Mus musculus: one gene and its partner. The protein of the gene in region 1 interacts with the protein of each later gene in a pairwise test. Links are inferred from orthologs where the notes say so. Each region holds a gene or a part of one and is shown in the gene's direction. Other genes may lie near its edges.

Region 1 (4,214 bases):
AGTGGGCAAAGGTCCTGATGTTGCTAAATATTTGACAACACACTGAACAGCTAGGTCCATGGTGAGGAATTATTTGTCTGCAAATGCTAGTAATTTCAAAGTTTAGAAGCCTTCATCTACCCAACCTTGTTCAACCTAACCCATGACCCTAAGGATGCATGTGGCTAAGGATGACTGTGAATACTGTGCAACACAACATTATAAATGTATTTAAAACATTAGGACTCTCTCTCTCTCTCTCTCTCTCTCTCTCTCTCTCAGTGTGTGTGTTGTGTGTATCTGTGTGTTTTGTGTGTGTGTGTGTGTGTGTGTGTGATTTGTTTTAGTAAGGTATCACCATGTGAAAAGGCTAAACAAGCTTGGGTCTAGGCCATAGTGAATGACTCTGAAGAACAAATAAATGGATTGAGGGCAGCTGGTGTGATTAGGGGGACTCTAAAACTTCTCAGTGGGGAGCTGAGGCAGAGCTATGGACTCCCAGGTGCTGGTGCCCTGCTGCCAAAATCTCAGAGAACTCAGCCAAGCTCACACATATTGAACCACACCTCCAGCACTCCTGAAACCACTAAATCATTATTTTATCTGTTATTATTTACTAATACTGCAAAAACTTAATATATATATTGGATTATCCTCAAACTGTGAGCACTTGTTTGGGAATATATATATATTGTATATATATATTTTTTGTATATATATATAAATTAGTGAGCTTACCAGTTTAGCACTGATAAACTCAAACACTCAAAGAGGTACATACACTTATGTAAAAAGAAGTTTCATTAACTAAATTTCTGTATTCATTGTTCTAATTAGGAGATGTTTTATCTGAAATTGTGCTTTCAGTCACCATCGATGAAGATTCTTCCTCAAGTCCTGTATTTCAAAATGTTTGTGTGCTCAGTCCCATTAACATTTGCTTCTTTAGGTTGGATATAGAGTTTATGTGAAGACGAGGTGGGTAACTGTCTTGGTTGCTTATTTCAGTTAGAGTGATACTTACAGCAGTGTGGTTTTTCCCTTCACTGTTTTTACAAAACTAGGTATCTAGAACAAGATACACTTTAAAAAATATCTTTGGGTCCTGAGGGTTGAGGTTTTCTCGCTGAAATCATTCTTCACCTTTAAAATGCTTTAATGCTTTTAAGGGGCTCTTAAAGTGCAAGGGTTTAAGGCCCGGAGCTAGTTAAGCTTTGAGCAGATGCAGTCTGTTAGACAAGAATAGAACTCATCCTTTACTTTGGGGAGCTCTGACACAACATCCAGCTGCTTCCAGTCATTTGACTCCTGAAAGCTGCCCTAATCCTGGTAAAGGCAGCCTCTCCTGCACCCAGGTCCACCCACTGCTCCTGATTGGCGAGGCTCTCCGCGACCGGAGCCCGCCGCCTACGACGTCCCTGTGAACTGATTTGAAATAAGAGCCAGGCGGTCCTCGCTAGCCTGCGCCCGACTTTTCATAGGCTGGAAAAGGAAAGGTTGAGAAACTTGACATTGTCTTGGGTAGAGAGCGTCTAGAAGCAGATCAAAGAATAAAAAGGGAGGGGGACGAAAAACGTGCTCTTTGCTGCCTGTGGATTCGACCGAGTTGCTTTTGTCTTGTGGGCTTTTCTGCCGGCTTTGGTGTCTGCGCTTGGAAGCCTGCGGGTGCGCTTCCGAGCAGCTTGCTCCCTGCCGGATGGGTCATGGAATTCTAAACATGAGGCAGGTAAGCTTGGGGGTTGTGATTGTAGCTGTGCTGGCGCCAGCCACAGAAGGAGGGCTTTAGCTTGGGGCCCCTGCGACCTGTTACTCCCAGAGCGGGCGGAGTGATCAAACGCAGCGTTCCAGCAGATCCATTAGGTGGAAGGAGGGGACTGCCTTCTCTTCCTAAGGCTACCTTAGAAAGCACATCACCTGCCGGCACCCCACTGCCTCGTCCTTACTACCTACCCGCGCCAGCTTTTGCTTCTAAGAGTGGTTGCTGATGTCAGGCAGTCTTTGTAAAAGGTTCAGAGCGGTTTGTGGAATATGCAAATCAATTCCAGTTTGCGGGCCTCTGGAATGTATTGTGCTGGATTCATCTCAAGCTTTTAGCCTCTACCCTATTATGCTTCAGGTTAGAATAAAGACAACTGCACAGTCTGACAAAGAAGCACGCTGGGACTCTTATCTTATTTTGCTTTCACGTTTTGAGCACTTTACTGTGTGTCCGAGGCTGAGAAGGCGAAAGCAGTCTGGATGGAACAAGCTGCACTTCCAGCGGAGGCAGGCGCGGGGAGGGGGGAGGGGGGTGTTACAGACTTTTTTAAAAACCGTTCTAGCACTTTAGGAGTTGTATTTTGTGTTGCTGCTGGACGTAAGAACACAGTCCCGGAAGTACTGAAGGGAGACCGGTCTTGAGTGTGTCTCTGTGAAGAATTCCAAGCCAGCAGCTTCTTCCGTCGCTCTAGGGCATAGGGATACAATTCCTTATCAACTTAGGTAGAAGTTTATGAGGTTTATAGCTTTGCCGTTGAGGAAAAAGAGAAAAGGAAAGACTGGATTACAAAGCCTAGAAGAGGGTGTAATTTACAACTCTATCACAGTTGGAAAAAAAAATCTTACGTCAATGTTTTATTGCCGAGATCGATACTCACAAGGGAAAGACAAAAGTAAAAGCCTTTCAGTGACTGGGAAGGACAGAGACTCCCGGGGAGGAATGCTAGTTACTCTTGCCAGAGCGGAGTAACTCCGGGTGGGAAACTGAGCATCTGTTTTGTCACCGGAAAACCTCTTCTCTTTTTTCTTCCAGTTGAGTTGGGTGTGCCCCACCCCAAAGTGTTCACTTTAGGCGAAAGTAAACCTTCCCATGAGTGGTTGGGCCAAGGGGTTTACGACTTTCCGTTTCACTGCCGCAGAGGTAAAGCAGAGGCCCTGCATGAAAGGTCAGGAGCAAAGGCCCTCACATTTCTTATTCGCTAACTTGCTCTTCTGGACGAGCTTGGGAAATTGCAGGAGTACAGAAAAAAGCACATGAAAGACTGTGTGTGTGCTTTCAGCAAATTGCATCTGCCTAGCTGGAGAGTGGTGCAGAGGCTGGCTTTCTCGAAGTTTTGCGATCTTATAGAGCAGCCTCATTCTTTGAATTTCTAGCAAGCACATGAGATAGACAAAAGGGGCAAGGAGGCTTGCTGGATAGGAGCAAGAAAGAGAATAGGTACACAATACTATTTTTCACAAAGGTCCTAAGCCGGAACAAAGAAGTTATTTGATGCTGTGTGAAGCCACCTGTCTTGTCCTCGGTGATGTGTGAACTCAATTTTTAGAATCTTTGTGCCCACACAGTTCCTCTGGAATGGGGTGACACTCCCTCTGTCTGATGCCTCAGGCAGGCTTGTCCAGAGCTTGGGATGATTTTTCCCATGTGGAACTGTGGCATTTGTATGAAGTTGGCAAACAGCCCAGTGTTGAAGTTTTAACTGTACAAGTAGGCATGTAGTAACTCCTTAGTTATTTAATGAATGACCATCTTTTCATCCCACATCTCTGGATACATATATAACATTGTTCTTTCGCCTATTGGGTAGTTGAAAAGAGGGAGGGACTGGGGGAGGAGATGCAAGAGTAGCGATCATTGTTCATACAAGAAACCAGGCATGAGATGGTAGCATTACTGCATGGGCGAGTCCCAGATTTGTTCTTGTTTCTCTTGTTGGGGGAGGGGAAGAGACCTTACCACTTCATTCAGGCAGAGGAATAACATCCACCAACCAATTTGTCATCTTAGGCCCAGCAGCCCCTGGCTGTATTTGCAGGGTTAGCTATCAAACCAACCCATGTGTCATCAGCTCAGCAATGAAACACAATCCTCTTGCTGGTAAGTGATCCGTCCCTAGGGCTGTGCAAATGCCGAACAGTGGGGTGGCAAGCCAGGACAGATCCCTACCACTAACTAGTTAGAAATTCTCCATAGCCCAAAACTCGCCAACACAATTAGAAGGCTACATGTTTGTGTGTAAGACTCAGAAAGTTTGGGCTCTTACCAGATTGTCAGCACACAAACAGTGCAGGTCAAAATTCTTATAAGGTAAATGAAACAAGCAAGCAAACAAACATAAACCTGACAAGTTCATCAGGAAGTCATTTTAAAGTGTGCCAACCTCTCTTGGCACTTTGATCAAAAAAAAAAAATGGAAAACTTTTCAGATTCTTCTTTGAGAAGGAATTTGCTGCGTTCCCAGGCAAAAGGAAAGGCA
Region 2 (3,985 bases), on another chromosome or scaffold:
ACGCTACTTCCAGGAAGGCAAGAGGCCGGAGCGTAACCCTTGGAACCCAGACCTTCTCACCTAACACTCCGCAAACAACGCGGTCCTGCGGTGCAAGCACCAGGTTTGGACCAGAACACCCGAGTCCAAGTCCCAGCTCCACTTCCGGACTCGTCTGTGCCTTGCACAAGTCTATTACTCTCGGAGAAATGTAATGATTCTCTATGGACCACAGCGAGATGCGGAATGTAAAGAAAGCTTTAAGGAAGATGCAAGCGACTCTCCAACTTGTTAGGGCAGTAGCGCTCCCAGCGGGGGCAGAGCGGCCAGAGGACCAATCACAATCACCTCTCCCTTCACTCCCTTCCCGCCGCGCGCGGGTGCTGAGGCCGCTCCCTGCGGTCCGGCCCCTGCAGAAGCCTCGCGGCGTTGTTTGCCATACCTGCAGCCACCTGGTCAGCGGGCCCCTCCTGTTGACCCATGACGAAGTCTTGCACGAGGCCACACAGGGCGCCCATAGGCGCCACTGCCTCCTCCAGACCGGTGGCGGCAGCCATGACGCTAGCCAGAGATTGTGGGAGGGGGAAGTGGGTGTGGCTACGAGATGTGTCTCTCCGCGCACGCGCCTCCATGGCCAATAGTTGGGCGCAGACTTCAGGGGCGGGGCACCTCCAGGTCACGTGCCTGCCGGCTCTGGGCCAGGCAGTCCCTTCAGGGACCTAACGGCCCCTCCCCAGAGGGCGGGGCCTGGGCCGGGGCGCGGCTCCGGGAGGGGAAGTGACTGCCGGGCACGCAGCCGGGGCGGTTGAGGGCGCATAATTCCCGGCCGCTCTCCCCGGGAGACGGGCGACAGGGCGGGCACCTGGCTGGGTGGGGCCGAGGGGCGGTACGCATCCTGGGAAAAGCCAATGAGAAAACCAGACCCGGCCCGAGGGGCGGTGCCGTCGGTCACATGCGCACCTGGGGCGGCTGGCGACCGTGGCGCGGCCACCCCAAGCGGGAGGAAGGGAGCGGGGCCGGGCCGGGGCGGGGTTAGGCAGGTGAGTGACAGGCTCCGGGGGGCCGGCCCCAGCTGGGAGCTCGGAGTGATCCTGGAGTAGCTGCGGCGGTGTCCGCCCCCTCCCTCCGCCCCTCCAGCCGGGCTGGTCTCTGGCCGGGCACTGTCGCGGGCCCCCCTGGCCTGGCCACCTCCCTCTCCGCTGGCCCGCAAAGTTTGTGGCGAAGCCGGCGTCGGGCAGAGCGCTCCCCAGGGGAGATCCAGGAGCTCTCGATGTCGGGCTGCGGGAGTCGTTGACCCGGGGACGCCGCGGTTCGGGGCAGCAGCGTGGAGCAGCCGGCCGACCGCCGCCTCTGGTGCATGGGGGACCGGCTGAGAAGCCAGCATGGGCAACTGCGTGGGGAGACAGCGCCGGGAGAGGCCGGCTGCTCCGGGACACCCCCGCAAGCGAGCAGGTAACGCCAGGAAAGGCAGCGGGGTCCCGGCGCGCTGCCAGTTGGCCCTTGCCTTGCCCGAACCTTGGGGTTCCCGAGCGACCTCGCTCGGCGCCGGGCGCTTGGGTTCCCCCACGGCTTCTCGGAGCCAGACGGGGCCCTCCCCGGCGCGGGCTGTCTGGGAAGCGAGTTGGGGTAACTGCGAGCGCTGACCCGGCCGGGAGGCCAACTCGCTCCCACCGGGAAGCTGGGGATGGGGGCGGGGGCAGGAAATGTTTCCAGACCGCGACGAGGCTGGCGGAGGGGGCCAAGCGAGTGCGCCGCGGATCTGGCAGCCCCGGCCAGGGTCGGCCGGCGGCCGGCCGGGGCGCGGCGTGGGCAGCCTGCGTCCCCAGAAGTCGGAGCGATCGAGGCGAACACAGTCGCTCATTCCAGCGAGTCACTGTGTCATTATCGGGCTGCAGGTCGTTGTCTGCGGGAATCCGACTTGTAAAAAGCAGTGCAGGACCATGGAAAATAGAAATCTTTATTTCCTCCCACCTCTCCACACGGCTTTTTGGAGCCTCGGTGGCTGTCTGGGAGTCTAGGAAAGGTGGGGTGCGGGGTGAGCGTCGCCTTCGTGTTTGTTAGGAGCGTTCTCAGCTCTTGGAATGGGATCCCTCTCAGCCATGAGAATGGGATCTGCTCTCTGGCAATCTTCGAAGCTCCAGTAGCGCGGTCTCACTTTCTTGGTACACCAGCCCTGTCCTGGCGCTTCGTTTGAGGGTCATTTCCCTGTCTTGTACTCTCTTCTCTGGGGGTGTTGCAAAGAACTTATGCAAATGATAAACTGTGGCGCGCAAAAAGACCTTCAACACTGGACTGAATTTCCAGATCTACCTCTCTTTTATGTAAAAACACAGATCCAGAGAGGTTGGGCAGCTTCCCCTAAGTCACACAGTGAGTTAGAAGTGCAACTGAGGTTGGAATCCGGTCTCTTCCCCCTTGTTACCACATACCCCTTTATGTAAGAGGAGCCACAGGCGCAGTTGTTAATGAAGTGGAAACTCTAGTTGGAGTTTCCTGTCTGCTTTGACACTGAAGGTGTGTTGTTTTGCTTGTGTAAACTGGGAAGGAAGATGGGGAGAAGCACAGGGGAAGCTGGGAAGGATGTGTGTGTGTGTGTGCTGGACAGGATGACTTGTGCAAGCAGAAACGTTTTTATGGGAGGATGGAGTAAAACTTACAAATTCCTTTTGAAAGCAACCCTGGCCTTTCTTCTGACCAAGGACTTTTGTTCGTTCATTCATTCATTCATTTATATCATTCATACATTTGATCAAGCAGAAAGCAAATAATTTTGATTTCTTGTATGCTCCATCCTTGATCTTGCCTCGTGTTTTTATGGTTGACTACCCTTTCCTACCTCAGTCTCCGAACTGCTTTCTATCTCTGCTATCCTTATCCTGGTTTCCTTTCTCTATCATTATTTTTTTCCAGTTTTGAGGGTCAGGAGTTTACAGAAGCATTCTGCCATTGAATTGCATCTCTATCCTCCGATTTTCCTTTTCAATTTCTCTTGCCCACCCTCACCTGTTATACACCAGTGGCTCAGTCTGACAATCTGGGTTTCCTCATGACACTCCCTCCCAGAGATAGCTTACTTAGTTGCACAACTCTTTGTCCATCAGGAAGACCCCTGTCTCTTAGTTACCAGCTTGATTCCCAGACCCCCATGTCTAGGCAGACATCAGTACTGTGGATATCCTGGGGCTCAACCCATCCACAACAGGTTCTGCACATCTCTACCCGCTGTCCTGTACTCTGCTGACTTGTCCTCAGCTTTCTGTCAGCTCGTCACAGGAGCCTGCTAGTTCTTCCATCAGAGTCATTGTGTCTTACAGACATGCCCTTTCCCAAACCATCTCAAGCCCGGCTATTCCCCCAGGCTGCAGTGAGCTCCAGGGAGGGCAAGCTCACCATCAGTCATTCATCTCATACCTGCATACACTCCATCTAGAAGCCACTGTGTGTCCAGACTGCAGTTATTTTTGTTCAGTACCTTCTACCTCTACAAGGCCTTTAACTTTCAAGACTGGGCAAGTCTGGCCTGGTCCTTTTAGAACCCGATTGCTTCCTCTTCCTTGACATTAAGGCCAGTAATGTTTTCATACCTTTTCCACTTTAGGAGAGTCTTTCTTCAGATTACACCTCAAACCCCAAATGCATCCATCCATCCTATTTGCCTTCATTTCTTTTCTTTTGAGACAGGACATTTGCAATATAATGAAAACAGACTGGCCTAGAACTCCCTATGTACCTAGTATAGCCATGTACCCTAGCTTGGCCTTGAACTCTCTCCAGCCTCGAGTGCTGGGATTATAGGAGTCTACCACCACATCCTACCTTTTGTTTGTTTGTTTGCTTGTTTGTTTATTTGGTTTTTTTGAGACAGGGTTTCTCTGTATAGCCCTGGCTGTCCTGGAACTCACTTTGTAGACCAGGCTGGCCTCAAACTCAGAAATCCGCCTGCTTCTACCTCCTGAGTGCTGGGATTAAAGGCGTGCACCACCACACCCGGCTAATTTTTTTTTTT

The links.
Region 2: the proteins of Mid1 (region 1) and Ubtd1 interact in binary tests that used the Homo sapiens proteins (3 or more experiments, as listed by UniProt). The two-hybrid records come from large-scale screens. The link is inferred for Mus musculus from reciprocal best matches to the Homo sapiens genes MID1 and UBTD1.

Annotation. Positions count from the first base shown.
Region 1 is NC_000086.7:169,878,205-169,882,418, forward strand, and holds the start of Mid1 (E3 ubiquitin-protein ligase Midline-1), read left to right. Parts: upstream 1-1,414; 5' UTR 1,415-1,705; intron 1,706-4,214. UniProt on the Homo sapiens protein: Has E3 ubiquitin ligase activity towards IGBP1, promoting its monoubiquitination, which results in deprotection of the catalytic subunit of protein phosphatase PP2A, and its subsequent degradation by polyubiquitination.
Region 2 is NC_000085.6:41,980,578-41,984,562, forward strand, and holds the start of Ubtd1 (ubiquitin domain-containing protein 1), read left to right. Parts: upstream 1-1,185; 5' UTR 1,186-1,361; coding exon 1,362-1,431; intron 1,432-3,985. Other genes in the region: MMS19 nucleotide excision repair protein homolog, read right to left, coding at 422-536. UniProt on the Homo sapiens protein: May be involved in the regulation of cellular senescence through a positive feedback loop with TP53. Is a TP53 downstream target gene that increases the stability of TP53 protein by promoting the ubiquitination and degradation of MDM2.